Linked DNA regions of Coturnix japonica. The main gene of each other region encodes a partner of the protein of the gene in region 4 in a complex. Links are inferred from orthologs where the notes say so. Each region holds a gene or a part of one and is shown on either strand. Other genes may lie near its edges.

Region 1 (4,037 bases), on a different chromosome or scaffold from region 4:
TGTTACCCTCTTCTCTCTTCCTCTTACGTTCCTGCAGGTGAGTTGTACGAGGCATAAACCTGTCAATGCCGTTATCAGCTGGAACTGTTCTTTGCTGAATTAAAGGCACTGGTGCAGCACATCCTCCTGGATGCGCCTTCTGAGTTAGGGATGAGCTTTGACTGGAGTTCCCAGAGGTTTCAGCACTGGGGTTGTCGCAGTGGGGAAAAGCCAAAAGGTCCTGACTGTGATTGCCAGAAGGATATTCCATGTTTTGGGACAACCCATGAGGAACTGGAAAGCAGGATGGATCCCAGTGAGTGGCTGCATGTGATCCTGGGGTACTCCACTGAGAATCAGACTTGGTCCTCCGAGGCCTCTCTGTTTTCTTCAACAGAAAGCAGTCTTTAAAACAACAAGAAAAGAAAAGGAAAACAGCTTCATTATTTTATGCCACTGTTAGTTCTAATACATAAAGTGTTCAATACAGTGACAGAAATAATACCAGCAATACTTCATTCCCAGTCACCTTCCTGTGATTCTGCTTAAGCAGCACCTGCAGTGGATAATGATATCCAAGTACATAAGCATAGGAAAGGAGAAGCCTGTGCCTGGCATTGTACTTATTTTACAGCTTGTCCAGCCTTCAGCGCTGCCTGGGAACTCAGCAGCAAAGCTGCCTGTCAGCCCAATCCATTCCTCGTGTTCCTTACTGACCCAAATGACAGGCAGGAAATAAGGGGCAGGGAGGGGGCTCTCTTACTAATCTCTCTTTTTGGGTATGCCTGAAAGAACTGTAACAAGGGGAACAAACTGATCCTCAGTTTCCTGGCAGTACTTAAAATTTCAGGTAACGTTTTGAAAAGAAATGAAGGAAACAATGAGGTTTAAAAGCTTTAAAGTGCATGTTAACTAAAACGTTGCTTTCTGAAAGGTCCATCTCTAGGAATAACTGAGAAATGTCCTAATGTAAAACAGCTAAACACAGTATATTTTCATCAATGGATGCTTTTGGCTTTACCAAGACGTACCAACCACTGGAATTAAAACTGGACATGAGATTTAACTACAAACCTCTTTGATTTGTTGCTTTTGCAATATACTTCCTTCTGTCCTGCAGCTTCTCCCTGGTTTCTTGGACTGTTTCAAATTCTGGAGCGTAGCACACGTGCAGCAAACTCCCAAAGAAACTGCGCTCATCCATCTTCTTCTTGGCCACCCTGAAGGAAACTAAATGGCATTAGCAGAGCTGAGGGTTTTACTTCAACTCTGTATGATGTAGATCATACATAAAGGGGCCGTGAAGGATTAAAACAACAAAAGGCAGATAGTGCTGTGTATAATACCTGGCACATTGCAGATTCTGGAATTTTATCAGATAAACTTCAGTGAACTGCTCTGCGGGATATTCATCAAGTGCATGGTACTCTTCTATGGCTCCGTACAAGGCAAACTGCTCCACTAACTCCTTCATGACGCCCAGCGCAGGAACTCCCTGGATTAGTAAATAACGCGATTCCAAGTTGATGGTGTACACCTGAAAGAAGCACAGGACAATCACAGAATTGTAGGGGTTGGAAGGGACCTCTAGAGATCATCAGTCCAACCCCCTGCCAAAGCAGGCTCCCTACACCATGTCACACAGGTAGGCGTCCAGGCGGGTCTTCAATATCTCCAGAGAAGGAGACTCCACCACCTCCCTGGGCAGCCTGTTCCAGTGCTCCGTCACCCTCACTGTAAAGAAGTTCTTCCACACATTAATGCAGAACTTCCTATGCTGTAGTTTCATCCCATTACCCCTAGTCCTGTCCCCACGCACTACTGAAAAGAGACCAGCCTCACCACTATGGCTTCCCCACCTCAGGTATTTATAAACCTGGATCAAGTCCCCTCTCAGCCTTCTTTTCTCAAGGCTAAACAGACCCACTTCCCTAAGTCTCTCCTCATAGGGGAGATGCTGTTCAATGCTCTAAAATGCCCACGTTTACCTCACTGCGAAAACAACAACTCAAAGCGTTCGTGCTGCCCGCTGTGTGGAGCCACCGCGGGCAGGGATGAACTCAAGCAGGGATGAACACATCACAGAACATCAGCTGGAGCTGATGCTTCTCCAGATGTCAGAGCACCGACACCTGCGGACTAAACAAGTCTCCAGCAGCCCACCCGCCCTCACCCCGCACCTTGACGGCCCTGGGTCGCCGCCCCTCGCGGTACTTGGCCCTGGACCCGCATGCTCCCAGCTGCTGGTGGTGCCTACACGCCTCCCCCGGCCCGCCAGCACCGCCCGCCGCCATCTTCCCGGCCGCCACCGCGGCTCCGGTCGGCTCTTCCGGGAAGGAAGTGGGCGCTGCCGAGAAGCCGGGCGGAACGAGCAACTACAGCCCGGCCCACCCGGCTGGCGGCATGTGGGGCAGCGGTAACCCCGGCGGAGGGGCCGCTGGAGTCGCCGCGGTGACGGTGGTGCTGAGCGGGACCCGGGACTGCTTCCTTCACCTGCCCGCCGTGCTGGCCTCGCACCTCCGCCTGCAGCAGGTACGGGGACGAGATGGGGGCGGCCCGTTCGGAGGGGATTGTGGGAGAGAGGTTCTCCTTCCTCCCCCCATCGTATCCCGTCATCATGGCGGTGCTCAGAGCCCTCCTCGAGAGGACGCACAGTCACCACAGCGACAGCGCAGGGCAACCAGCCGCCCCCCGCACTGTCGCTGTGGTGACTGTGCATCCTCCGAACGGGCCGGGACCCCTCGCCCCTGGACCCAGATGGGTCTGAGTATTTCTGAGTATGATTTGATAGTAATTCGTTTCATCTGCCTGATAATCACAGGGCCAAGCTGTCAAAGTATCCTGCCGTGATGAGCCCATCTACCTGAGCTGGATGGAAATGAGGCATCGAGGTCAGCGGGGTGAAAATATCGCAGAGATGAACAGGCATTTAGCAGAGAAGCTTGGCATTGCAGATGGAGAACAGGTTTGAAATGCAGGTCCCTTTTTTGAGTTTCTGAGTAGAGGTTTTATGTGTTTAAGGAGTTAAATTATTCAGAAATAATGTTGCTTCTATCAGGTGTTCGTGGAGCCCTGTTCACACGTCTCCTCCTGTCAGCAAGTAGAAGTGGAACCGCTCTCAGCAGATGATTGGGAAATACTGGTAAGAAAACCTGTCCCACTGTTCACATCATTTTCATGCAAATGACAGAGAATGTTGATACAAGCTTTTGTCGCAATCCCCCGTTCTTTTCTGCTCCTAAGCAAATGCTAAGTCTTGTGGGTTTTCATTGTATTTTATGTTTCAAATGGTGTATTAGAAAAAGATGTGAATCTTCTATGTTCAAACACATTTTAAAGGTTGTACAAGTGTGTAGCTTACAATGATACCACACTTTCCCAGGAACTGCACGCTTCCTCTCTTGAAAAGCATCTTCTGGACCAGATCCGAATCGTATTCCCCAAAGCCATCTTTCCTGTTTGGGTTGAACACCACACTCACGTTTACATCAGAATTGGTAAGCAGCAGTGAATGCTTTGCTGGTGCCTTGAGTAAGCTGTTTTGCAAGAGTGGATGCATTCATTCATCTGATTTATCCATACTCAGGTACACTTATGCCAGCAGCCCCCTATGGGAGATTAGAACCTTGCACGGAGCTTCTGATCTGCCCCAAAGCGCGTGAGCTTGAGGAAAACGTCGTAGACATGCCTTCTACAGAAGGTGACATCTTACTCAAGAGCTTTGTGAAGAATAGCATGGAGCAAGACGTAACTGTAAAGGAGCCTTTTGCCAGTCAACCTCACTTAAACCCAGGAGTCCCTGAACAGAGTAAGGCTGATGCAAATGTGACGTTTGGCTCAAGTGTTCTCCCAAATATGTGGAATTTCATAGGGAGCATTTTCTCTCGTACAGCTGAACAGAAACAAAAGACTCTGTGTGATAAGGATGAAATGAGCGCCTTCAAAGACAAGCTGCTGAACTTAATTCACATGGATTCCATTTTTAGAGTATGCCAGTCCCAGCCTCCCAGCGTACAGAACGCATCAGCTGTTCATGCATTTCTGAAACACGGTGCCAT
Region 2 (4,294 bases), about 2.7 Mb from region 4:
CAGCCGGGTGCTGGGAACACTGGACACCTCCTGCACCCACAGCCGGTTATCCTCCTCCCATGACCTGCACCGGAAAGCAGCAGCGATGGAGCTCGGCGGGGCGGTCCTGAGTTAAGGCTCTTGTTGTTCCCCCCTCCCCGGCTCACCGCGGCGGTAGGATGGCGTTCAGGATCTCCTGAGGTTCCTTCGTGGAGGCGGCGGAGGCGGCAGCAGTGCGAGGTCGGGACGGAGGGACAGGGCCTGATGGCGGGGAGGCCTGTGGGGTTCCCTTCAACGGTGAGGCCTGAAGGGAGAAAGCGGTGTGAGCAGGATGGGTGAGGTGTGAGGGCTCCCCCCGTCCCATTCAGAATCACAGAAACACAGAATTATCAAGGTTGGAAAAGACTTCACTAGGAGAGTGGTGAGGCCCTGGAACAGGCTGCCCAGGGAGGTTGTGGATGCCCCGTCCTTGGAGGTGTACAAGGCCAGGTTGGACGGGGCCATGGGCAACCTGATCTATGGGGTCTCTATGGGGATCTATGGGGTCTCTATGGGGGTCTATGGGGTCTCTATGAGGATCTATGGGGTCTCTATGGGGATCTATGGGGATCTATGGGGGATCTATGGGGTCTCTATGGGGTCTCCTGGGCAACCTGATCTAGTAAATGTGTATGTTTGGTGGCCCTGCTTGGCAGGGGGGTTGGAACTACATGATCCTTGAGGTCCCTTCCAACCCGGGTCATTCTGTGACCTAGAAGATCATCTAGTCCAACCATTCCCAATACTTCCCAGCTAAATCATATTCATCAACACAACATCCAGATGTTTCTTGAACACTCCCATGGTCAGTGACTCCACCACCTCTTTGGGCAGTGCATTATAATGCCTGACTACCCTTCCTGAGAAGCAATACTTCCTAATATCCAGCGTGACTCTCCCCTGACACAGCTTAAAACCATTCCCTCTACTTCTATCATGGATTAGAGGCTCACTACAACCTCCCTTCTAACTTCTAACTAAGGGAGTTATAGAGGGCTATAAGGTCTCCCCTGAGCCTCTTCTTCAGGCTGAACAACCCCATCTCCCTCAGCTTCTTCTTATAAGTCCCCATTATGCTCCAGACCCCTCACCAGCTTCATAACCCTTTTCTGAATGTATTCTCAATGTCTTTCTTGCAGTGAGGTGCCCAAAACTGAACACAGGGGGACAATTACCTCCCTGTTGCTGCTAGTAACACTGGTTTTGATACAATATAGGATTCCTTTGGCCTTCATGGGCCATAATATCGGTTCATATTCACTCACCTCTGGTGATCGCTTCTCAGTACGGCGACTCACCAGCATGGGCGGGTTATAACGCAGCAGCGAATCGGGCGGTGGGATCATGGCGGCTCCTCGGTCGCTATGGTTATAAACGCCGCTCCGTTGTTTGTTCTAAAGGCGCATGAGCGTTAGGTAAAGATGTAGTTCCGGGTGGTTGAGAGAGAGGTAACACGGATGTGAAAACGTAATTCCGGTTGTGGGGGGAGTCGGTAGCAAGATGGAGGCTGAGAGTGAGAGGAGGAGGAGGGAGAGAAGGAGGGGGGAGATGGCGGTGAAGGCCGAGAAGCGCAGCCCACGGAGCTGCGGGTCCCGTTCGGCTTATGGGAGCCAATCCCCCCCCATTGAGGAGCGACGGGGCAGGAGCAGCAGGTAGGAGGCCTCATAGGGCCTTATTACGGCCCTGTATCGTAACCCTGAGGTTCTGTGCATTTCTTGTGTACTTGATTTAAAGGTCGCCTAAAAGGAAGAGTAAATCCGGCCGGAGGAGCAAATCACCGCGGGGGAGGAGGAGCAGGAGTCCGCACCATGGAGGTGTGAGGGTAAAGCAGGTAAATGGCGTTGGGAGAGGCCAGGCCCCACAGATCCCCATAGAGACCCCACAGATCCCCACAGAGATCCCATAGACACCCCATAGAGCCCCATAGAGACCCACTGAACCCCATACAGACCCCATGCAGACCCCATAGAGCCCCACAGACAACCCATAGATCCCCAAAGACACCCCATAGATCATGTTGCCCATGGCCCCGTCCAACCTGGCCTTGAACACCTCCAAGGACGGGGCATCCACAACCTCCCTGTGCAGCCTGTTTCAGGGCCTAACCACTCTCCTAGTGAAGAACTTCCCCCTAACATCCAACCCAAATCTTCCCTCTTTTAACTTAAAACCATTTCCCCGTGTCCTGCTATTGTCAGCCCTTTCCAAGAGTTTACTCCCCTCCTGGGAGTAAGTTCCCTTCAGGTATTGAAAGGCTGCAATGAGGTCACCCCGCAACCTTCTCTTCTCTAGGCTGAACAAACCCAACTCCCTCAGCCTGTCCTCATAGGGGAGGTGCTCCAGCCCCCTGATCCCTCTAGAATAACTCTTAAGGAAGAGAGAGTCTTACAGTGTAACATCTCCTTGCTCTCTGCTTCGTGTTTTCCTGGAAAGAACTGAGTGTTTGTACCTTTTAGTGAGCCCAGCCCCTGTTATTCCTGTAAGAAAATGAGTATTTGTGCCTTTAAGTGAGCCCAGCCTGCAGGCTGACCCTGAAGGCTGATGTTATGATGCATTGCTCTCTGTCAGCCTTGCATTGTTGGGCCCAAGTTGTGGGAATTCACTTTGGAAGGAAATAAATAAATCTAGATATACACGTACCATGTTACAGTCTGTGTTTTTCATGTGTTTTCTGTCTTCTTCCTCAGGAACGAGACGATCATCCTCACAGAGGAAATGAAGAGAGAAAGCAGAGACACACGTCAGAGCAAGAACACAGACGAGATAGAAGCGGTGACAGAGACAGGCACAGAGATCACTCAGACAGGAGGAAAAAGGAGGAAAGACCTGGAGGTCGAGGCCATGAGAGAGAAAGAGATGTTCAGAACATCCGTGAGCAACAAGCAGAGAGGGAGTTCTATAACGAAAGAAGACGAGAGCATCGACAGAACAACGAGGGGAGCGGTGCTGAGCAGAATCCAGAACACAAACAATCTGATAACAAACCAAAAGATAAAGCTGTAAACAAAGAAAAACCAAGCTTTGAACTGTCTGGTGCCCTTCTGGAGGATACCAACACTTTCCGAGGCGTTGTGATTAAATACAGTGAGCCCCCAGAAGCTCGGATTCCAAAGAAACGATGGCGTCTCTATCCATTTAAAAACGATGAGTTCCTGCCTGTCATGTACATTCATAGGCAGAGTGCTTATCTCCTGGGCAGGCACCGCAGGATAGCAGATATCCCCATTGATCATCCCTCCTGCTCAAAGCAACACGCTGTGTTCCAATACCGGTCAGTATCGCTCTGTATCCCTCTGGTAGGTGGGGATTATTTGGTCGCTTGCGTGCAAAGGGAATCAAAGAACGTATTGGATGTGCACAGATTAGAAAATGCATGTTTGCTCAATGGTTTTAGATAGGTGGAATTTAGGTATGGATGTAACATATATGTAATTCCTTTTTGTTTAACCATAAGCAGCCTCGTGACTCTTAACATATATATAATTCCTTTTGGTTTAACCATATCTAGACTTTTAGTAAGAAACACAACACAACAGGATGAAATACAGAACTGCCTGTATATCTGAATTGGAGTTATTAGCAGGTGGGATTGGCAATAAAGAACGTTTAAAGGAGGGTTTTTCATTTGTTCCTTCCCAACAAAGGCTGCCGATCTCCTTTATAAACAGCAGGGTTGTGTGCTTCAGGAGGCAGAGCTGCTCTCTTAAGGAACAACCATCTGTTCTGCTTCAGGATTTACTATGTTATATGATCATAACTTTAAGGGGTGAAGCAGTCTGTCAGAATCTTGAGTATTTCCGTGCCCTGTCTAATTATTCTCATTGTACTTGCTCAGATCTTTGAAGTATGGTTAAGTATTTACAACAGTGGGGCTGATGTGTTGAAAAATCCATGTGTTATCATTGACTTGATGGGTTGTTTTTGTTTTCTAGGCTTGTGGAGCACACACGCGCTGATGGCACAGTTGGCCGCAGGGTAAAGCCGTATATCATTGATCTTGGTTCTGGCAATGGTACTTTTCTAAACAACCAGAGGATTGAGCCTCAACGTTACTACGAACTGAAAGAAAAGGATGTATTGAAGTTTGGCTTCAGCAGCAGGGAGTACGTCCTTCTCCATGAATCATCTGATAAATCAGAGGCCAACGCAAAGGACGATGATGAGGAAGAGGAGAAGGAGGAAGAGTCCGATAGTTAACAGACATGAAGGCAATTGGGGATGGGGGAGCAGGGGAGAGGAATCTTTTACAATAAAACATGCATTGGGATGGAGATGT
Region 3 (4,029 bases), on a different chromosome or scaffold from region 4:
TGAACAGAACTCATCCAGGTCTGAGGAAAAGCACAGGCACTGAAAAGAAGCGCTGTAAAAAGTACATACAGCACAAGAAGGAGGAGTTACCATTATTTCCTCGGATAAATGCATCCCCATACTTGTTCTTTAACTGTCCATTTACGTATTCTTCTGTCTGTTCCAGAGCTATATTCATATAGCCATCCAGGCAAGCCAGGACACCTAAAGAGAGTGATAGTTTAAAAGTGAATCAACTTTAGCTTATTTCTGAACTAAACAAAACGGCTTTGCATTTGAACAGTACAAGGAAAAAAATTGTATCTTCATAGCAAACTAAACTTCCAAATGTGGTCAGGTGAGTCAGTCAGCAGCCCAGAGAGCATTAAAGGAACTAAACTGAGAGTAGGGAACTCCAGGTCCTGTACATGACTGGGTGGGGAGAACTCACTGAGACGTGACTTTGAAAGAGAACATCTTCCATTCTGAAAGTTTAGTTGTTGCTTTTTACTTTTGTTTTATGCCCAACTCCTGAGAAGAACCTGTGACATAAAGTGTAACTGGGCAGCCTAAGAACAAGGCTACAAGCTGAGTTTTGACCAAAGCTCATCAAGGATATATGTGAGAAATAACCCTTCTAATACAGGACACCACGCACATTTTTCTGATTTATTTTCCAGAAACTGGAGCACAGGAAGTTCTGCACGGATGTGCACAAGAATTTGTTTACGGTGAGGGTGACAGAGCACTGGAACAGGCTGCCCACGGAGCTTGTGGAGTCTCCTTCTCTGGAGATATTCAAGACCCGCCTGGACGCCTACCTGTGTGACGTGGTGTAGGGAGCCTGCTTTGGCAGGGGGTTGGACTCGATGATCTCTACAGGTCCCTTCCAACCCCTACAATTCTGTGATTCTGTGATTTTCATTCTTATAGACAGAATAACATGGGCTGCCAGCGTGATTTCTGTGTAAATCAATTCTACATCTTCAACGGGGAAAGGGTTTTCATATGACACTGAAATCTTCAGCCAAATTTAAGTGATGTACAAACAGAACATTTACATAGTGAACTAAATGTGGGGATTAACGGATGTGAAGAACTGCTCAGAAAATGCAATACGTACACAATGCAATTTGCTAATTGCATACATAAAACAACTTCTAACAAGCTGCTCATCTCCATCTTGTTTGTGTGTGTTTCCTGACTTCCTCCTTGCACACAGACACCACTATTAAAAATACAACTACCAAAATGGACAAGAATCTAATTTACCTGCTATTAAAACTGAAGACATGCAGTACATTGGCTGTATTTGAGGAGGGGGAGAACTCCAGTCTGAGAATCTTCCTCCAGGGTATGTTCTCATTTTCCAGAAGCGTTACTGTAATATCCTCCATTAAATAATTAGGAATTCAAGTTTTCTTGCCAACTTGTAATGGCTTGAGGATTGGTATTTTCCTGTATGTGTTTTTCATCCCTGTTTCCACATAAATGGGGAAATTCTGTCTGGCCACAAAGTGTTTTAAATACACCAAAACCTTCCAAGCCAAGTCAGTGACAACATTTTCACACCAGTAATCCTGAGTGCTTCAAGATGCCACAGAAAACAAATGTTTGCCCCAAGCTGAAGTTGGGCTGTGGGGTTTTTTTTTAAGCTATCACTCAACTGGCCAGGGTGCATCTTCATTTCTTTCATTGTTGTCTTTCTTTTCTTTGTATTTACTCCCAGAATACTAATAGCATCACATACTGTTGCTGCCCACCCTGGCTCATATTTTGCCTGTTTTTTATCAGTATGCAGCAATGTTTTTACATTCATATCCATCTGTACAACTGATTACACGTGCACTTTGCCAGGACTTCTTAGATGAGTACAGCGCTTGGCAGTGAACCAAGACATTTTACAGCTGCACACCAACGTGAGAACCAGGCAGCTGCTGTGCTCACAGTGGCTGGGAGGGTGGAGGTGCAAACATAAAATGAGAAGGGTAGCCTACAGGCAGAATCTGAAGAGATCTGCAACAAAAGCCTGAGATGCTGGGTTTCCTGATGTTTGGTTTATACAAGTGATCGAATTTCTGTAGAGAAATGAAGTGTGCATTTCTCAAATGTAAGCACCAGGAGGGAGTTAGGGAGAATGGAGGGAAACAAAGAAAGGAAAATAACTCCTGTATGACATTGGGCTGGTGTCCAAACACCAAGATTCCTTGTCAAAGGACAAACGAGCACTAAGATGAGCCAACTGAATTAAACCTACCTGAAGTAGCGATGTCTGGCATGATCATAACGTTTAAATCATCCCAGAATAAAACACCTGTCTCCTCATGGGAGAGGCATGATAAGAGCATCCAAACTTAACGAAGACTGAGATAAAGAAATAATTGTAGAGGCTGAGCTATTGGAGAGGCTCAGCCTAAAGGGAGCAGGACATCTCACTGCACAGACAAGGTGGAATCTTACCTCGATAATCGACTCCAGAATTTAACTTTACAACAACAGGCCTTCCAATGATCTGCTTTAGGAAGTCACTGGGAGTTTGCTTCCGTAGGCTCATCTTGATTTGTGTCGGTACGCTGGGAATAGATGTGAAAGCCGATATATGGATAAGCAGCACATCCCACCCTGCAGGCATTGAAGGCCAGGCTGGATGGGGATGCGAACAACCCGGTTTAGAGGGAGGCGTCCCTGCCTACAGCAGGGGGCTGGAAGTGGATGGGCTTAAAGGTCCCTCCGCACCGCTCCCCGCACCGAGGCACAGCCCGGCCCGCACCCCGCCGCCCGGTGCCCCATTGCGGCCGGGCCGAGACACAACGCCGCTCACACTCACCCGCTGCTACGCGCGCCCGGCCCCGCGTTCGCGGCCAATCAGCGGCGGGCGGTACGGCGCGGCGGCAGGGACACGGCGGGACGGGCGCGCTCGCTAAAGCGGGGCGGGTTGTGGCTGCACTGAGTAGCGCCGCCTCTATCGCTGCAGGGAGGAGCTGGATGGGATCACCTGCTGCCAAAGGACGGGGAGCAGCTTTCTGCTTCTGCACCCAGCTGTGGCCTGACCTCTGCAAAACCTCATCTGTGTCCGTTTTAAACTTATCTTTATAGTTTCTGTCTATTTTTATCGTTTCTGTCTATGGATACTTGGTTCATTGATGCCAGTCAACAAAATCCTTCTAATTTCCTTTTTAGTCCTAAATTTACAAACATATGTATTCCGAAAGACTGAAATAGAGATGGACAACGTTGTATCCTTAGCTCGCCACTTCTATGGCTTGAGGCTGAGCCATGAACCCACACCTTAGCAAATTTGTCCTGGTTTTCTGTATAAGCCTTGAAACAGTCTTCCATGCTGTACTGAGTAAATGAACCTCTGTGCAATAGGACACATTGCTGAGCATGTTGGTGTAGTGGGTTTTGCATTGGGAAAGAAAATTTCTCTCTTGCTTATTCACAAAGATTATATAATGTAATCACAACTGTAAATACACAACCTAAAGAATGTGTTGTTTCCTGAGTCACACAATCCCAGTGCTCAGGTAGGTGGTTTTCAAAGGAATTATGTAATCCATTCTGTAGACTCCTCGCAGATTTCAAAGCTTCGAGTGTGAAAAAATGAGACCCACTGTTTAATGGTTCTTCTTTTTGCTTCAGTCATCTAGATGAAAAAGGATTTGGGTCTAAAACTTTGCATGCGTTGCTATCAGTACATTCTTTAAAATATGGCATTGCTTTATCGTTCCACAAAGCAGAGAGCATTTTTCCAGCTGTATAAAACTCATTGAAATCAGTGACATTCTGCCCGTGTGTTTTAATCAAGATGAACTTGAAAGGTGAACATTGTAAGTGGTAGAAATTATTTATAATTTGGTAATAAAAGTTTATGTCTAACACTTCCAAACTTCATACATCTGCTATGTGCCAGCCTTGAGATATAGAACAATTGTGATTGCCTTTACATTTGGCCTCAGATGAAAGGTCATAAATTACAATGGGAGTTTTCAGTCCTTCGCAGCTCACAAAGTTTCCATTATAGCTTCTTCACCTCAAACATAAATGGTG
Region 4 (3,500 bases):
CTTCACCGTGTCAGGCTGCCCACACTGGGACCAGCCATGAAGGAACAGGTATTCATCACCTCATGCACTGCTGCTGCAGCCCAGTGGGACTGGAAAGAAGGGTCATGTCTCAGCTGCCAGCTGTGACAGCTGGCCCCACTATATCTGCACAGTATGAGCTAAAGCTCTCCCTGTCGTCTATCAGAAGCTCATTAATTTGCTGATTACTGCTGTTCCATGCCTTGGACTCCGGCCTGCAGGAATTCCTGTCTCCATGTCACTGAGAGTGCACCTGGATCTGCTCCAGCAGGTTGGTATCCTTCGTGGCGACCTTCAGTGTCTGGCAGGGACCCTCTGCTGCCCTCCTCCCTCTGCCCAGTTTACCCTTTGGTTATCCAGTCTACAGAAGCTCTCATTTAAATAAGTCAGATATGTGCTAATTTAGTCAGAACTTAATTTCCTCACACCTGTTAATTAAGTAAGGATCACAAACGATCCTCGAAACGCCACTGGTGCTCCCTGCTAGCTTTGACTGATTCTGGTGGTCATTATCAGCACAAAATGCAGCACTCTGCAGCAATCTGCCAGAATCTTTGCCTTTGGAGAAGTCTCACAAGAATCTGCTGCTATGACTGCAAGAGACCTCGCATGCTGCCAGCTACGCTCCCGTCATCTGCTTGTCCATCTGTTGGATGCAGTGACTGAACACAAGCAGAAATGGAGCTCTCTAGAAGGTTTCTGACAACAGTAATAAGGATTTTACAACCATATAGTGCTCCTCCGCTGATGCAAAGGCAATATGAACACATCTCTGCTACCATTGCTGCAGACAATGCTCACAGATTACCACAGGGGGTTGTTTGGGTCTTCACACCTCCATGCACAACTCTGGCTCTTCATATTCATTTTAGAGACTATCCAGGCTCATTTCAGCAGTGATTGCAAAAATGGTTTGGCATTGACAGTAACAGAGAAACACGGTGATAACTCACCTGTCAGCAGATCCCCCTGCTATCTTACTCCCATCTGGAGACCAGGAGCACCTCAGAAGATTCTAAGACAAAACAAAACAATAGGCACAGTTCCATTTCCGAAGAAGATTTAGCTTTTCCCTTCCAGTTCAAGTAAAATCACTATGAGACTTTAAGTATCAAGAGCACTACTTTAATGATCCCTCTTCAAAAGATTCTCATCAAGTAATTAAAGATTTTGTTTTATTGTTGGAAACATCCAGTGCCTTGTTATTTTATACAACATGTGTAGAAAATACTTCATTTACAGCTAATTATAGCCAAAGTGAACAAAGAAATTTTGTTACTACAGCTTTAATTGGAATCTCACTTTGTGCGTTAATGTTTCTTCGAGTCCTTATTAAAGTCTCACTGGTTAAAACTTTAACTTCCCTGTAAACTGTTCTTTAAGTTCATGTGGCAACGCTGTATAAATGAGTGTTTAGGTCTGTAATACACTCACCTTTTCAAAATTATGCACATTCCCCTGGAAGATCTTCACACATCTCTCTTTTGGGGCAAACGGTCGCACATCCCAGATGCGAACTGCAACAGAGCACACAGTAATTAGCAGGAGATACCAGAACTACAGGGGCAAGGTCAGCTGCTAATGATCAAAGATCTGGTTGCATTCCTTGTTCTTTTCATGCCCGTTTCCTTAGCTAAAGGATACCAACAGCCTCCCGCTGCAGGAAGCTGTGATATGAAAGGTAAAATGCAGTAATTTATAATTACATTAAGACCACTCCCAACAGGAGGGGAAAATTCCAAAACAACTACTACACAAATGAGCTACTGTCTCCTCACATGAGCATTTGCTTTATTCTAATACACTTCATGATCATACTTCTAATCAGATCAGCTTCACTGAGCACCCATACGCAGGAGATGAGCAGTCTGGAAACAGCACTGTCATTCCCTGCTGCAGGGAAGCAGCTGAACCACTCTGACAAAAGCCAGACCAAGATTATGTTCAACTGCCTGTGCAAATAACTTGTGCCACAGCCCATGTCCTCATTGCCCTTTGGGAGACGTGACAAACCTTTCTGATACAGCTGCTCCTTCTCTACAAAGGATGTAACTGTCACGGTTCAAACAAAGAGAACTGAAGGTTTCTCTGCAGACCCTGCCTGCATTCCGCCCACCTGACTCTCCTATTTTAGCACATTGACCAATTTCAGCTGCTCCTTCTGAAATACCACACACAGCTCTTCAAAGGCAGAGGCTGACAGTTGTCTGCACAGCTGTGCTGTCACATTTGGCAGGACATACCTGTGTTATCCATTGCGTTAGAGAGCAGGTAAGAACCTTCTGAACTCAAACTGAGGCCTGTCACTGAGTCTGCATGTCCTCTCATCGTGTACGTGAGCTTGTTCTGGCGAAGGTCCCACACCTTTCAGACAGCAGAGACAAAATTGTGGCTTAGAATGGACAGACAAGACTATTAGCAATGCTCTTTCCAATTTCATGCAAGTACTGATCAGCCATCTGATGAATAACTTTCCACTTGCAGTTGGGTAAGGTCTGAATGGCTAAAATATAAGGCTATAAAGTTATGTGTTGTCCTCTAAAGGGCAAATTTTCCCCCCCATTTCTTACCTAACGTGTCCAACCACATCAGCAGAAAATAGTTAAATTTCAGCAGCTGATGTACGCAGGATTTCCTTTCAATCTGGCCTAGCTCCCTCAGCTCCCAAATTCCACTGACCCATGGCACAGAGGAGCAGTTATCCAGTCTTCAAAATTTCATGCTGTTCTTTCTCTATGAGTTACTGCCATTCAAAGGGCAATTAGAAGTGAAATCATTTCAGTGCTACGCTTAGTGGTGGCCCTCTGACAAGTATGTGCTCCCCATGCCTAGGTAAGACTGGAGACTGAGGCCAAAAAGACAGCAAGGCTGACTGAACTGTGAAGCTATCTGGAGAATCTCAGCTACCAAGTGAATGAACACTGAGCGTGCTCTTAAATAAGAACTTTCCACAGTAGCAGGTGACAAAGTAAGTTATTGAAGCAAGGGTCAGAGAACATGGATGTGTCACCAAATTTTCTTTAGCGTACAACATATATGGCTCTAGAGCCTCTGTGAGGGGCACCAGCTGCCAGAAGAGCTTGCATACCATATCAGTGGCAGTGTGTGACGCTAAGATGCATGGCCAGTCACATGGCAGACAGCCCTGGAACAACTATCTCAGAGTTTTCTGGCCTTAGATCAAGACACTGTGGGTCAGTGCAGTTCTCGTGACAGTAAAATTAACCACATTTGTCCTTGACCAAGGCATTTTGCGTGCTGCTAAAGCAAATTTTGATGGGATGGAAAAGGTGAAGGTGGTTGGAAAGAAGCACAAGGACACAAGCATCATACCTTAATATCGTTGTCAATGCCCCCAGATATGATCTGATCACTGGTGTCATTAAAGGTTACAGCCAAGACTTGGTAAGTATTCTGAAATGTCTGGACAGCAGCTTTTTTCCTGATATCCCACAGCTGAAAAGACATTGTGTTGTAAAACT
Region 5 (4,292 bases), on a different chromosome or scaffold from region 4:
CTGTTGCATCCCACCACGGCCTCTGCCTTTGGAGACCACCTCTTCTTTCACCATGTCAATTATCTCATCGGGGATCCGAAGGTATTTAATTGTGCTGCCACGGATGTAACACTCTGGCATCCTCCAGAACTTGTCACCATCCTATTGGGAAGCAACGTGTTAAGCTGAGAACAAAACCACGTGCACTTAAGTTGCTTTTTGACACTTGAATATCTCCATCACTTCTGAAGCGTGCGACAGATGTAATAGTCTATTCTGAATGTACAACCCATAATTAGCTGTGAAATTCCTGTTTTCCCTTTAAAACACGCAGCCCTACAACCTGCTGGGGAGTCAGGGGGCGTTCAGCCATGAGCCACTGCAGTTTCAGCCCGTTCACAACCGCCTTTGACTCTCACAGAAAGTGAAGGAAGAAGAGGAAACAGCACCTTCCCTTTGCTTCTCATACAAGAAGAGAATCGAAAGTGGGACTGGAGAGGGAAATGTGGTAAGTTCAACACAGCTGCTGCAACACGGGGCAGTTCCAGCACATAAAGCCCCAACCAGAGTCACCTACAAACTGAACCCCTTTGTGGTGTGGATTGAGCAGCGAGGAGCATCCAGCTGGGTGTGGGGTGAGCCCAGCAGCGCACAGGAACCGCGGCTGTGGAAAATAAGAGCTTACAGATCACGTTCAAAGAAACCTTCGGGTGCCAAGTTACGGAGCAGCTGCCTCTGTGTTTTGTTTAAGGCAGTTTCAGGGCTTTGCTAGGACACAGCCCATCAGGGCTTCAGCTCCTGTGGCTGTGGGAATAGGAACTGCATGTGAAAGTTGAACAACAACTGATGTAAGCGGGAGGAGGGATGGAACCTCGTGCGCACGGCCGTGCTCTGCTGCAGGGCTTGGCTGAACACAGGCTCCTCACAACTATCACACATGGACAGAGTGTCCACAACATCCCAGAGGAGTGGGTGAAACCAGAATGCCTCGTTTCACCTCTCCAGAATCAAGTTGTACCCCCCTCCTCCTCTGCTCCGGTGTTATTTGGGGCAATGCAGCATGCACAGGCAAGTTCCGTGTGTGTGAGACAAGCAGCCTTCTTCAAACAGGCACCCAGCAAACCCCACCCTGCCTGGATCCGCCCGGCTGCACTTTGGCTCTCTATGCAGGAAGGGATGGAGCCAGGTCCCCGGCTTCCTCGTTCCAGCTCCCCATGTAAACAGCTGCCGCAGCTCCATGCCATCTAGTGGCTGATCCCCACCGTGCCACCAGGAAGGCTTCCATATATACCCCCCCAGTAGCACCCAGGGGGTATTTAGGGGTGGGGAGTGAACTGCAGACCACTCGGTGGGTATAAATGCTGAAGTGCTCTGCCCACAGCAACACAAAGCTGCTTAATGAGGAAGCAGTATTAAAGGCCGGCATCCCTTGTTCTGCAAGCACTAGTAAGGCTTTGCCACTTGCCACCCCTTCCCATTGAACTTATCTGTTTATCTGCCCCAACAATCTGTGGATCCAGATTTTTAGGGCTCACTGCTCTGCTGTTATGATCCTTCTTAAACCTTTGCTTTGTTTAAGTACACACATCACATCTCCGTGCCCCAGCACTATTGGCCAATACCTTCCTGCTGTGGGTCCAACAGGCACAGAAACCCTTCCTGAAGAAGAAGGGTTTCCCTGACAGCCTCCCCCACAGACCCGTGATGTTCCCAGGCACAGAGAGCAGCAGCAGCAGCAGGAACGTGGCCAGGCACAGGCTGCCAGGGACAAGACCAGACACTTGAGGCTGAGGTCAGAGCTCAAAGCACAGATCCCAATCTCTTCTCGGAGCACTTTGGCCATGGGCAAAAGTAGCAGACGAGGCACAACCCGGTTAAACAAGAGGCCCTAATAACTTTTGATGTGGAGTTACAGGGCGTGAGGCAGGTGATGATGAAAGGCAGCACTGTGCTCGATGGGGCTGCATGGAGCGGGCAATGGGACAGGACCTGTCACCAGCCCTTCACACTGAGCACCTTCACCCTGCTGTCAATGGGCTCATTCGTTTCTTACACCTCATAACTGCGTTACATTCACATTCAAAGCAAAAGCAACACACACAGAAGGGTGAGGATCTCTGCGAGTCCCACTCAGCTGCAGGGCTGGGGGCTGATAGCAATGTGGGGTCTATGGGCGCAATGGGGGGTCTATGGGCGCAATGGGGGGGGTCTATGGGCGCAATGGGGACAACTCATTCCTGATCTGCTTTGATGCTGTTCAAAGTAGGGGGTCTATGGGCGCAATGGGGGTCCTGGCATTGAGCTGGTTACCCGTGAGGTGCAGATGACCTCCCGCAGGTTGATGTTCATCCAGTTGTCGCAGCTCACCAGGTGCCCGTTGTACGTCTCGCCGTTCTTCAGCTCCACCAGCTGGAAGAAGCAAAGGGGGGGGGTCAGCATGAAGGAACCGGGACCGACGGGGCGGCACGGGGACCCAACGGGACCCGACGGGGCGGCACCGGGCCCATAGGCCGCAGCGGGAGTGGGCCGGGACTCACCATAGGGTGGTTCTGCGCCGTCTTCAGCAACGACAGGGGCAGCTGCGGGGGAAAGAGAGAAAGGCCTCAACAACCGGGAACCGGGACCGCCTCGGATCCCCATGTAGGGGCTCAGGGAGTACCGGGACAACCGAACCGGCCCGGCCCGGCCCATTCCCGCACTCACCATCGTGCCGGAACCGCGGAGCCGCCGCCGCGCCGGGCGCTGCCGCTCAAACCACCCCCGGCCCCACACGGGACCAATCAGAGCTCGGCGCGGTCCTCGCGGAGCCAATCAGCGTGCAGGACCCGCCTCGGCCGTAAAGCATCGCCGAGGTTGGCGGTGCACAGCGTCACGACAGTGCCGTAAATTGAAACGCCGAGCGGGAAGCGGCACGGAGCGGCGCTCAGGAGGCGCTCTAGGCAGCGAGGCGGCGCGCACTCTATGGTCGCGCGGGGCCGCTCTGGTCCTCGGGGCGGCGCGTATTCTATGGCCGCGCGGGGCCGCTCTGGGCGTCGGGGCGGAGCGCGCTCTATGACCGTGCGGGGCCGGTCGCTCAGTGCGGTGCGGGAGCGGAGATGGAGAAACCGCGGAGGGCGGTGGTGGTAACGGGTACGGGCGGATGGAACGAGACCGGGGGGTGGGGAGGGGACGGCAGGGTGGGCTCTGATTCCATTATCTCAACGGGGGGGATGCGGGATTGGGAGGGGGCGGTGAGGGGCACATGGGGGTGTCGGGGTCCTGGTGGGGGTGTACGGGGATTGGGAGGGGCGCGACGGGGCTGCGGCGTGTCACAGACCCCTCCGGTTATACCCCCCCCCCCCGGTCCCCGCTGTATTTGTCCCATCTCTTGCCCCGGGGGGGTTGGGGGGTGGTCTCTGCTTCAAACATTCAGAGCTGATGGTGCTGGATCTGCCCCTGATGGTCGCACTGAGACCCCATTGCAACCCCATGAAGGTCTGCAGGGTGGGCTCAGTGCTGTGTGCCCGGCAGGACCCTGTGCTGGGTGTGGGGTGGCTGAGGCTGGGTTTGGTGCTACCCATAAAGTTGCTCATCTGATATGCAAGGAATCGATCTGGGGGTCGGTGTGGAGGATGAGTGAGGGGGCAGCTCAGTTGGGTTCAGAACGAGAGGTTTTGGTTACATTGGGGTACCTGGAAAGCTGGTGTGATTCATATTGAAACCATCCCAATGAAACACCTGTTTGGTGCTCTCACATCTATAGCTTATATATGGAGAAACAACAAGTGCATTAGGATCCTGTGGGAGCCTTCAGGAGGGTTATTATGGGGAGATATTGATGCTGGTTCCGCTTGGAGGCTCAGGTTGATACTGAGATCCCATTGAGCTGTACAAAGCCCTGTTGCTGTTGTGTGCGGTGTAACCTCAGCCCTCCCCTTCTGCTGGCAGCACATGGGAGGTTTCCATTAGTGTGTCATGTAATATTTGTGGTCCTGACTTAGATGCAGTGCGTGCCTTCTGATTGCATTAGGCTCACAGGGTAGCTCTGCCATCTGAAATTAAAGCATATCGATCCCACGCCCAGATAAATGCCCAACCTTTGTGTGCTCGCTCAGGGAAAGATGTGATGGGTTACTAGTTAACTCCGAGTTACTCATTAGGAAATGCAGATTTGGGGACGTAAGTGTTTTTATAGCGTTGTGTAACCTTTGGTGCTCGGTGCAGGTGGGTCAGCAGTGCTTTGTTTGGTTCCTATTAAGGCAGAAGGGATTTTGGTGAAGGTGTGAGCAGAGAAATGCTGGATGGAGACTTGTCTGTGTTTGTGGGCTGTTACA
Region 6 (3,595 bases), on a different chromosome or scaffold from region 4:
GCTTCACTTCATCTGGATGCTCATCAATAAACTGCCACCTGAAGCTCAGATAACAGACCAAACAAACAGCTTAAGACAATAAAGAAAGAGATCCATGCTCTCTAAACAAAAGGGTCCGGTGGAGCAGCTTGGGAGCTTCTTCTTGCAGCGGTGGCGTTCAGTTGTGAGGTACAGTGGTGACACTCATTGGTAGAGCATCTCAGGCTCACAACCTTCCGATGCTGTTGCTATGTAACCCTTCCATACAATGTCTGTTACCAACCCGTTGTTTTTAGTTAGAAATGCTTTCTTGCAATCAGGGATGGAGCGCAGCGCTCTGCTTGGCCTCCAGCTGCAAGCTGGACAAATCTAATCACAAGAGAGAGGTTATGCTTCGTGCTGAAGCGAGCCCCCAGGCAGCAGCGCTAAGAGCCATCAGCAAGGCTGTCCAGAGAGAAAGCTGTAGGGACTAATCCATGACCATTAGCTACTCTGAAGAAAATAATGGCCAAGGGAAACAGTTTAAATGGCCTCTGCGTGTTTATTGCCACAAGAAATTGACCCCCAAGGAGCTGCTGGAGCTTCTGAAGACTTTGCTGTCAAATATAACATGGCGTGTTGTTCATTCAGCCATTTCTAGTAGAGAACTAGAGTTATATGTACAGCAAGCAGCTTCTTGCCACATACTGACCCACCTGGCACAGCTCCCATAAGGGCTACAGGAAGCTCTGCTGTGCTAACTTCACTGCAAGCCAAAGACTCCAGGAACCAGAAGGGTTAAGAGTTACACAACATTGAACAAGCAGAAGCTCTCTGGGCTCATTAGCAAGGACATGGAGAACATGGGGCAGACATAACATGAGCCCACAGGTAAATCAGCTCACAGTATTAAGTTGTTTCAGAGCAAAAAACACCCTCTGGAAGAACTCAGCCATAGCTGAAACCACAACCGTGTGCTGCAATAGGCCAACACACCAGATAGGATTAACCCTCCATGACTTAAATCCCAGCATGCTTCCACCATGAAATAAACCTGAGATTTAGGACATCTGAAGACCTGTCAACTGCCTTCAGAGGACAAAGCATTTGGCATAGAACATTTCAACACAGTTTCTACAGTTTATTAGTAAAGAAATAAGTGGGTCAGACACCAGTGTCTGCAGCACCTCATGAAGGAACACCAGGGAGCAGAAGTGTTCCTCTGTGGGCAGCAGCCACTCCAGTTTTTGGCACTGGTCCTTTCTGGCTGGCAGGAAAATCCTTTTCCAGCAGCTCTCCTCTAAACACAGCCTTGCTTCCAAGAAGACAATCCACTGGGATACTGAATGCCAAGAACAGTGCTTGGTCCAGGCAGAGGAGCCGTTACTTTTGGCTCTGGCAGTGGTAGCAGGCAGATCTCAATTCAGTCGTGCTGTTTCACATGGTTATTTCTTCTATCTACATGTCTTCAATGCTCCACTTGTATGCCAGCTCCTGAACTGCCTTCTTATTGGCCATCCTGGCAAAGAACTGCTGCTCAAATCCGTTGGACCTACAAAATAACACCAACAAGACCATGGGCTACCGTGCACATCTACTAAAGCCACAAAGCTTTTAAATGACATCACATGTTTGCCACTACTTTTGCATCAACACCTCCAGCTGAGTTTCCACTCTGAGCTGTGGCAAACAGCAGGCAGTGCCACAACAGATCAGAACAGAACCTGGCTCCCTTTTGTCCCAGACAAGCATGTCCCTACCAGCCATTCATAACCATGAGAAGTGTTAAGGTTGAATAAGTTGCATCTCACTCACTGTAAGCTCTCTGAGGCAAAAGCTCATTTAGTTTTACTACCATTCAATGACATCAGTGTATCAGGAATACCTACCTGTCCACCCCATCCCAGCGATACCCAGGCCATATATTAAATCTGTTGAGAGGAGGTGCTGGTCCACTGTACCTAGGTTTCTCTAGAGACAAAAACAGCAATACAGACATTGGTTACTACAATGCAATCTTCAGGACTCAGCTGCCACAGCAACCTCACACTGTTCACTGAACAGCAGCTGCATTTCTATGCTCCTTGGGCATTAAAACCTGCACCAGCACAGCTTTCCATACCTTTCTTCTCCTTGTTCTCTTTGGCTTTTCTTTTTTTGATGAACTCAGCCATGGGGTCTCCTTCTCTCTCTTGTTCTCTCAGCATTCGATCCAGATCTTCATCGTCAATGTAACGGGCCAATGGTTTCTGCATTTCTTTTATTGCATCTTCCACATTCTGCTGCTGCTGCCTTTCCTGTGCTAATCTAAAAACACATACAAAGTACCACCTCAAAACTAAGGAATAATTTACTGCCATCTGCTCAAATTGTAGTATTGATCAGAATCTACTGTGTGTAGCATCCCTGAGAAGCACCCAGCAACAGACAGGGTAATCCCACACAAAATAACCTGGTCCCAGGCACAAAACTCATTGCCAACCCCCAGTCTGCAACCTGTAAAGTGACATGTCACCAAGACACCTTACCCCTTTCCCCATCTGGCATATTGCTCATCATGCAACAACTTTGCTTCATCTTTCTGCTTCTGCTCAAGACGTTCCTGCACAAGGTCCCTCTTGCGGCCTGACTTGTCGCGGAAGATGGTTTCCGTGTGTCGGGATTCCTCTAGGGATAACAGATATCCTGAGTCACTCACGTGGGAATATTTCAGTTTCCAAACCACTCCATAGCTCATGCAATGAGCTATAGGTGTAACAGCCTGCTCCTTCAGATCAGGAATAGCAGATGGGGCAGATGAGACACAAAAGCCTCACAATTGTCTCATTGGCACCTCTTTGAAATCACCACTCATAAATTTCTATTTTAGAGACCCAGTGGCTTTTACCTGTGTATATTCATCAGCATGCCTGGATGCCAGCCAACACAGACACTCTCCATCAACACCCTTACTACCAGCATTTTAAGACATGCCCTGATACAGCATTAACAGGCAGCCAAAAGCAGACTAAAAGCTGATGTCTGTGCACTGGTTTCAGACTTTTACCTTCCAAGTGCTTGCTACTTCTCTCCTGCTTCCTGAGCTCCTGCTGCTCTTTCCGCAGCACGTCAGCTGACACCAAACCAGCTTTGACCCCAGACATCATCTTGGCCTGCAAATCAAACAAGAATCACATTTACTGCTGGCTGAGAGCTGCCCAGTGACTCACAGGTATGATAAGGGGAAGTTACACGAGAGGCAGCTCTGTTACAAAGCCACTTTGCTGCCATCTTTGCAAACAGCTTCCACAGACTTCCAGAAATACAGAGTGCTCATGCAGAGCTCATCTTCCATCTACCTCACACGTGGTCTTATGGCAAACTGACAGTGTGGCACAGCTGCATTTACAAGCTATATATCTGCTCTACCATCTGTAAGCCATCACACTGTTAATGATTGCTATCAGAGGAAGCAATCTTCAGCACAGACGGAAAGACAAACCCCTTACCTTCTTGGGAGATCCCTTCTCATCTGGGTAGCGATGATCTGAGAGATTGGAGGGACTCCTTGAACCACGCTGACCCTTTCCAGAAGGCAGAGCCCTTTGAGGATGAGAGAAATTGGAGCATGAAGACTTGCTCTAAACACATTTAAGAG
Region 7 (4,219 bases), on a different chromosome or scaffold from region 4:
TTTGTAGTCTGAGCGGTCGTGGAGGAATTTGCAGCTGTCTGGAAAGCACAAAAGAGGGATGAACAATCTACCCCCATTGCCCAGCTGTTCAAAGGACACCTCATCCAGGGGCAGCCTGAGATTTGCTCAGTACAAGGTGAAACCCAATTACTTCTGTACCCACCCATGCTACAGGGCAGGGCCAAGAGAGATGAGGCCAAGAGAGGGCCTCATCCTGCCCTCTCAGGATCAACAGGCCACAAGCATCACGTTCTGGATGCCACAGCAAGAGCTCCAGCATTCACCCACATAGGAAAAGGAAAAGGAGATCCCACCACCTACATAACCTCAGGTGAGGAAATACTAACTCTGCAAACAGGTGCCCATGAATTACTAACTGTGCAATTTCATGCCACAAAACTTGGGCTCACCATCTGGATTGGATCCCTGCAGGCAAGACCCACTCACCTCCAAAGCCGCAGAACCCTGTTTCCTTGTAGTCCTTACAGATGTCTGGCTGGTAATCCCACCGCACCGTGGCCCTCAAGTGCTCTGGAGCACGGATGGGTCCTTTTCTGAAAGGGTGGGAGAAGGCTCAGTCCAGCTGTGTCACTGCAATGGAGAAAACCCCTGCGGGCCCGGCCAGAACCAGACACCAAACTCATTAGATAGGAACAAGCTCCAAAAACAGCATCATTTCAGCCCAGAAAAGTGCCCCTGGGGACAATGTCTGAAATTCTCTGTGGTTCTATGATCCACCCCCCCCATCCCAGGCTCGTCCCAACCTACCTGACCATTCCTGAAGAGGCATTTCCCATTGACGTGTCTTTGGGCTTCACATATTTCTGGTAATTGTTAATACCACGGTAAATTTTATCATCTTCTTTTCCTCTCAGTTCCTAGAAGAGAAAAAAAAAAAGGCAATTAGGGGTCAGAAGATCTTCATGTCACAAGCGAGCTTTTATCTCTCCCATACCAACCTCCCCTCCTGGCCATACCTTCCTTAATACCAAGTAGTCAATAACACCAGCAAGTCCCCCCATTTACATAGACAACACTTCCAACCTCTCAAATATGCAGGCAAGAAAAGACTCAAGGTCTTGGCATGCAAAAGGAGATGAGTAAGCACACACACTCCTGCATAGCATGAACTCTTAGAAGTGAGGCTGACCAACCTCTTGTATTTTCTGGCTGCGTTCGAAGATGGCCTGGGCATCTTTATCCTTCTCTGTGTCCAGTTCATACACTGCTGTGGCCCCCATGTCTTCTGGGCCAACAGGTTTCTGAAAAGCAAGAACAATATGTGATAACAGTAAAAAGAAAGGCTGCATGAGACAGAAACCCCTCGGCTACCTGGAGGGCCAGTCACTGAACAAGTGCTGGGCATGGCCTGCTTCACCCTCCAGCAGTTTCTAACTTCTATTAGCATCTTCTCTTAGCATCCAGCCTAGTACTTGTGCAAGACAGGATGTTAATTACTGACTGCTCCCAGGTTTTAGTTTGCAGAGTCAGGACACAGAAATCCCCACTTTACTCCTTCAAGCTTCATCTTGTCTTAGCTGGAAACTGATCTCAGGTCTCTCATGTTCAGTGCTTCAGCCATGAGACCACCCAGCCCACAGGCAGGATGTTATATCTGAACTTTTAACCCAGCTGTGGGCAGCCTGTGCTCTGTTTTAATTCAGTGATCTAGTCTTGGTTCCTTGTGAATACAGTGAACAGACAAATGCTCTGAGGTTCTGTCAGCTCTTCATTTGCACAGAAACCAAATAATTACAACCAGCCTCAAATTAAAAACAAACCCATCTTACACACCAAAAGCTTCTGGAACCCCAAAGGCTCCACCTCCTCCTAAGAACGTGCTGCCCTGCCCTTCAAGTATTAGGGCCACAATGAGGTCTCCCCGGAGCCTTCTCTTCTCCAAGCTAAACAAGCCCAGTTCCCTCAACCTTTCCTCCCAGCAGAGCTGCTCTGAGCTCCTTGTTGAACAATGCAGAATATCAGGAGAATAAACCCAGCTTGTGTGTTAGGAGGGGAGGGACAGGGAAACACAGCTACAGATCAAAACTGAGAAGAGCTGATGGCACATTTACAGAAGCAGAGTATGGGATATGAGTATGGGATTAACCCCACCCCAGAAGCTCATCTGCGCTCAGTCCTTACCGCCGACCTTGTTGATTTGTACGTGACTCCGATCTCCTTCGACGGATCATCATCATCGCTGCTGCTCAGGGCGTATGAGGGCCGCTCCTTTGTGCACCTCCTGGTCTGAAGGGCGGACAGACAGACAGACAGACAGACAGCGGGTGTGAAGGCTGGATGTGCCCCACACAACAACAGCACAGCGCCCTGTGTGCACCTCACCTTCTGGATCATGGGGTTGGGGGCGTCCCTCCGTCGCTCCTTCCTCACCACGGTGCTGCCCTCATCGCCGCTGCTCCCTGCGGGGTTTAATGGGGTTTAATGGGGTTTAATGGGGTTTAATGGGGTTTAATGGGCCTGACCGCGGGGCTCCGGGGATGGAGGCAGCGCCCCTCAATCACACAGCTCAATAACCGGGCCCCACTGAGGGGCTGTACGACCCACGGCCTTCCTCCGCCTCCCTCGTGCACCACAACAGGCCGCATCGGGATATACCACCCCCGTCAGCCCCTCACCCTGCTCCTGGTCGCTGCTGGGCCGCTTCCGCCGCCCCCTCCCCGCCGCCAGGCCCCGCTTCTTGAACACGAAGCCGCACACTGAGCCTCCCTCCGCCATCTTGAGCCGCCGCCTCAAGACAGAGCGGCACTAGATGGGCGCAGAGCCGCACAGCGCCCCCTGCTGGACGGGAGGACTCGGGCCGCATAGCGCCACCTGCAGGCGTGGAGGGTGAATTGCGAGTCGCCATAGCAACCCCAACAGAACACCAATAGAACCCGAATAGAACCCCAAAAGAACCCGAATAGAACCCGAATAGAACCCCAGCAGAACCCCAGCAGAACCTCAACAGAACCTCAACAGAACACCAGCAGAACCCCAGCAGAACCCCAGCTGAACCTCAACAGAACCCCTATAGAACCCCAACAGAACCCCAACAGAACCCTAATAGAACCCCAACAGAACCCTATAGAACCCCAGCAGAACCCCAACAGAACCCAATAGAACCCAACAGAACCCAATAGAACCCCTACAGAACCCAATAGAACCCCAGCAGAATCCCAACAGAATCCCTACAGAACCCCAACAGAACCCCAGCAGAACCCCAATAGAACCCCAGCAGAACCTCAACAGTACCCTAATAGAACCCCAACAAAACCCCAGCAGAACCCCTACAGAACCCCATCCACCATCGCGGTTCCGCTCGCTGGGTGGTACCCGCACCCCGAGCGCTGCTTCGCGACCCCGAGCGCAGCATCGCACCCACGGTGGGCGGCAGAATGCGGGGTGGGGGTATGGGGGGGGTATGGGGGGNGGGGGTATGGGGGGGGTATGGGGGGGTTGGGGAGGGGGGTCGGTGGGATGGGGCCGGCGATGCGGTTTTGGGGTGGGGGCAGCGGGGGCCGCCGGGTGAGGGAGAGGCGGCCGCACACAAAGGAGCGGCGCTCGGATCCGCACCGCGCAAGGAACCAATCGCCGCCACGGCCGCGCGATAAAAGGGGCTGCGGGGGGAGCGCGCACGGAGCGAGGAAGGGACGGAGCGAACGACGGAGATACGGACGGACAGAGCAACGGACAGCACGGGGAGGGCTCAGCCCTTGTGCTGCTCGGCGGCGGACCCGGGGGTATGGTGGGTTTGGGTTTGTCGGGAACAATGGGGGAGGGGAACAAAGCGGGGTGGGAGGGCTCGGAGATGATGGGGAGAAATGGGGGCTGCAGGTGGGGAGCCCCGATAGCGGTGCTGCCATATGGGGCTGCGCAGCAGGTGGGGGACCCCCCCCCCCAAAATGTCTGTGTGATCCTCCAGGGGGGAACTTCTGCTCCGGGAGGCGGCTCGGTCGAGGGACTTTAGGGTGGGGGAGCACTCGGGGGATGCTGTCTGAGCTCTGGATGCCTTTTGGGGTTGGGATTCTGTTGGGAAATGGAGAGGGGTCCGCACCCGGTGCTGAGCGGGGAGGGGAGTGAATAGGGTCTGGGCGTGCGGTGTTTAGAGGGGGGTGGGTAGGAACATTTTGGGGTTCCCCAGCTGTGCTGAGCTCCCTCTTTGTTGTGTGCTGCATCCCGTGCTTGGGGGTGTGGTGGGGTTGGACAGATCCATTTTCTT

Evidence for each region.
Region 1: SNRNP40 (region 4) and RBM48 share a complex: the UniProt entries of both Homo sapiens proteins name them as parts of the minor spliceosome. The link is inferred for Coturnix japonica from reciprocal best matches to the Homo sapiens genes SNRNP40 and RBM48.
Region 2: SNRNP40 (region 4) and SNIP1 share a complex: the UniProt entries of both Homo sapiens proteins name them as parts of the minor spliceosome. The link is inferred for Coturnix japonica from reciprocal best matches to the Homo sapiens genes SNRNP40 and SNIP1.
Region 3: SNRNP40 (region 4) and LSM6 share a complex: the UniProt entries of both Homo sapiens proteins name them as parts of the U4/U6-U5 tri-snRNP complex. The link is inferred for Coturnix japonica from reciprocal best matches to the Homo sapiens genes SNRNP40 and LSM6.
Region 5: SNRNP40 (region 4) and LSM4 share a complex: the UniProt entries of both Homo sapiens proteins name them as parts of the U4/U6-U5 tri-snRNP complex. The link is inferred for Coturnix japonica from reciprocal best matches to the Homo sapiens genes SNRNP40 and LSM4.
Region 6: SNRNP40 (region 4) and BUD13 share a complex: the UniProt entries of both Homo sapiens proteins name them as parts of the minor spliceosome. The link is inferred for Coturnix japonica from reciprocal best matches to the Homo sapiens genes SNRNP40 and BUD13.
Region 7: SNRNP40 (region 4) and RNF113A share a complex: the UniProt entries of both Homo sapiens proteins name them as parts of the pre-catalytic and catalytic spliceosome complex. The link is inferred for Coturnix japonica from reciprocal best matches to the Homo sapiens genes SNRNP40 and RNF113A.

Annotation. Positions count from the first base shown.
Region 1 is NC_029517.1:20,668,994-20,673,030, reverse strand, and holds the start of RBM48 (RNA-binding protein 48), read right to left. Parts: upstream 2,801-4,037; 5' UTR 2,599-2,800; coding exon 2,473-2,598; coding exon of another isoform or gene 2,383-2,472; exon of another isoform or gene 2,361-2,382; intron 2,303-2,360; exon of another isoform or gene 2,274-2,302; coding exon of another isoform or gene 2,160-2,273; intron 1,517-2,159; coding exon 1,326-1,516; intron 1,200-1,325; coding exon 1,054-1,199; intron 385-1,053; coding exon 1-384. Other genes in the region: PEX1 (peroxisome biogenesis factor 1), read left to right, coding at 2,383-2,511, 2,801-2,944, 3,038-3,121, 3,362-3,476, 3,566-4,037. UniProt on the Homo sapiens protein: As a component of the minor spliceosome, involved in the splicing of U12-type introns in pre-mRNAs.
Region 2 is NC_029538.1:3,338,324-3,342,617, forward strand, and holds the start of SNIP1 (smad nuclear-interacting protein 1), read left to right. Parts: upstream 1-1,494; 5' UTR 1,495-1,518; coding exon 1,519-1,670; intron 1,671-1,752; coding exon 1,753-1,849; intron 1,850-2,705; coding exon 2,706-3,289; intron 3,290-3,950; coding exon 3,951-4,215; 3' UTR 4,216-4,294. Other genes in the region: DNALI1 (axonemal dynein light intermediate polypeptide 1), read right to left, coding at 1-64, 147-283, 1,284-1,364. UniProt on the Homo sapiens protein: Required for pre-mRNA splicing as component of the spliceosome. As a component of the minor spliceosome, involved in the splicing of U12-type introns in pre-mRNAs. Down-regulates NF-kappa-B signaling by competing with RELA for CREBBP/EP300 binding.
Region 3 is NC_029519.1:27,572,606-27,576,634, reverse strand, and holds the start of LSM6 (U6 snRNA-associated Sm-like protein LSm6), read right to left. Parts: upstream 2,801-4,029; 5' UTR 2,612-2,800; coding exon 2,440-2,611; intron 205-2,439; coding exon 91-204; intron 1-90. UniProt on the Homo sapiens protein: Plays a role in pre-mRNA splicing as component of the U4/U6-U5 tri-snRNP complex that is involved in spliceosome assembly, and as component of the precatalytic spliceosome (spliceosome B complex).
Region 4 is NC_029538.1:602,876-606,375, forward strand, and holds part of SNRNP40 (U5 small nuclear ribonucleoprotein 40 kDa protein), read right to left. Parts: intron 3,475-3,500; coding exon 3,352-3,474; intron 2,383-3,351; coding exon 2,262-2,382; intron 1,536-2,261; coding exon 1,453-1,535; intron 1,034-1,452; coding exon 972-1,033; intron 1-971. UniProt on the Homo sapiens protein: Required for pre-mRNA splicing as component of the activated spliceosome. Component of the U5 small nuclear ribonucleoprotein (snRNP) complex and the U4/U6-U5 tri-snRNP complex, building blocks of the spliceosome.
Region 5 is NC_029543.1:3,005,695-3,009,986, reverse strand, and holds the start of LSM4 (U6 snRNA-associated Sm-like protein LSm4), read right to left. Parts: upstream 2,801-4,292; 5' UTR 2,686-2,800; coding exon 2,683-2,685; intron 2,559-2,682; coding exon 2,517-2,558; intron 2,389-2,516; coding exon 2,290-2,388; intron 142-2,289; coding exon 1-141. Other genes in the region: PGPEP1 (pyroglutamyl-peptidase 1), read left to right, coding at 3,075-3,108. UniProt on the Homo sapiens protein: Plays a role in pre-mRNA splicing as component of the U4/U6-U5 tri-snRNP complex that is involved in spliceosome assembly, and as component of the precatalytic spliceosome (spliceosome B complex).
Region 6 is NC_029539.1:4,398,579-4,402,173, forward strand, and holds the end of BUD13 (BUD13 homolog), read right to left. Parts: intron 3,541-3,595; coding exon 3,447-3,540; intron 3,111-3,446; coding exon 3,005-3,110; intron 2,626-3,004; coding exon 2,487-2,625; intron 2,266-2,486; coding exon 2,081-2,265; intron 1,930-2,080; coding exon 1,848-1,929; intron 1,511-1,847; coding exon 1,417-1,510; 3' UTR 501-1,416; downstream 1-500. UniProt on the Homo sapiens protein: Involved in pre-mRNA splicing as component of the activated spliceosome. As a component of the minor spliceosome, involved in the splicing of U12-type introns in pre-mRNAs.
Region 7 is NC_029542.1:2,229,020-2,233,238, reverse strand, and holds the start of RNF113A (E3 ubiquitin-protein ligase RNF113A), read right to left. Parts: upstream 2,801-4,219; 5' UTR 2,737-2,800; coding exon 2,637-2,736; intron 2,421-2,636; coding exon 2,344-2,420; intron 2,248-2,343; coding exon 2,143-2,247; intron 1,263-2,142; coding exon 1,155-1,262; intron 879-1,154; coding exon 769-878; intron 555-768; coding exon 448-554; intron 39-447; coding exon 1-38. UniProt on the Homo sapiens protein: Required for pre-mRNA splicing as component of the spliceosome. As a component of the minor spliceosome, involved in the splicing of U12-type introns in pre-mRNAs. E3 ubiquitin-protein ligase that catalyzes the transfer of ubiquitin onto target proteins.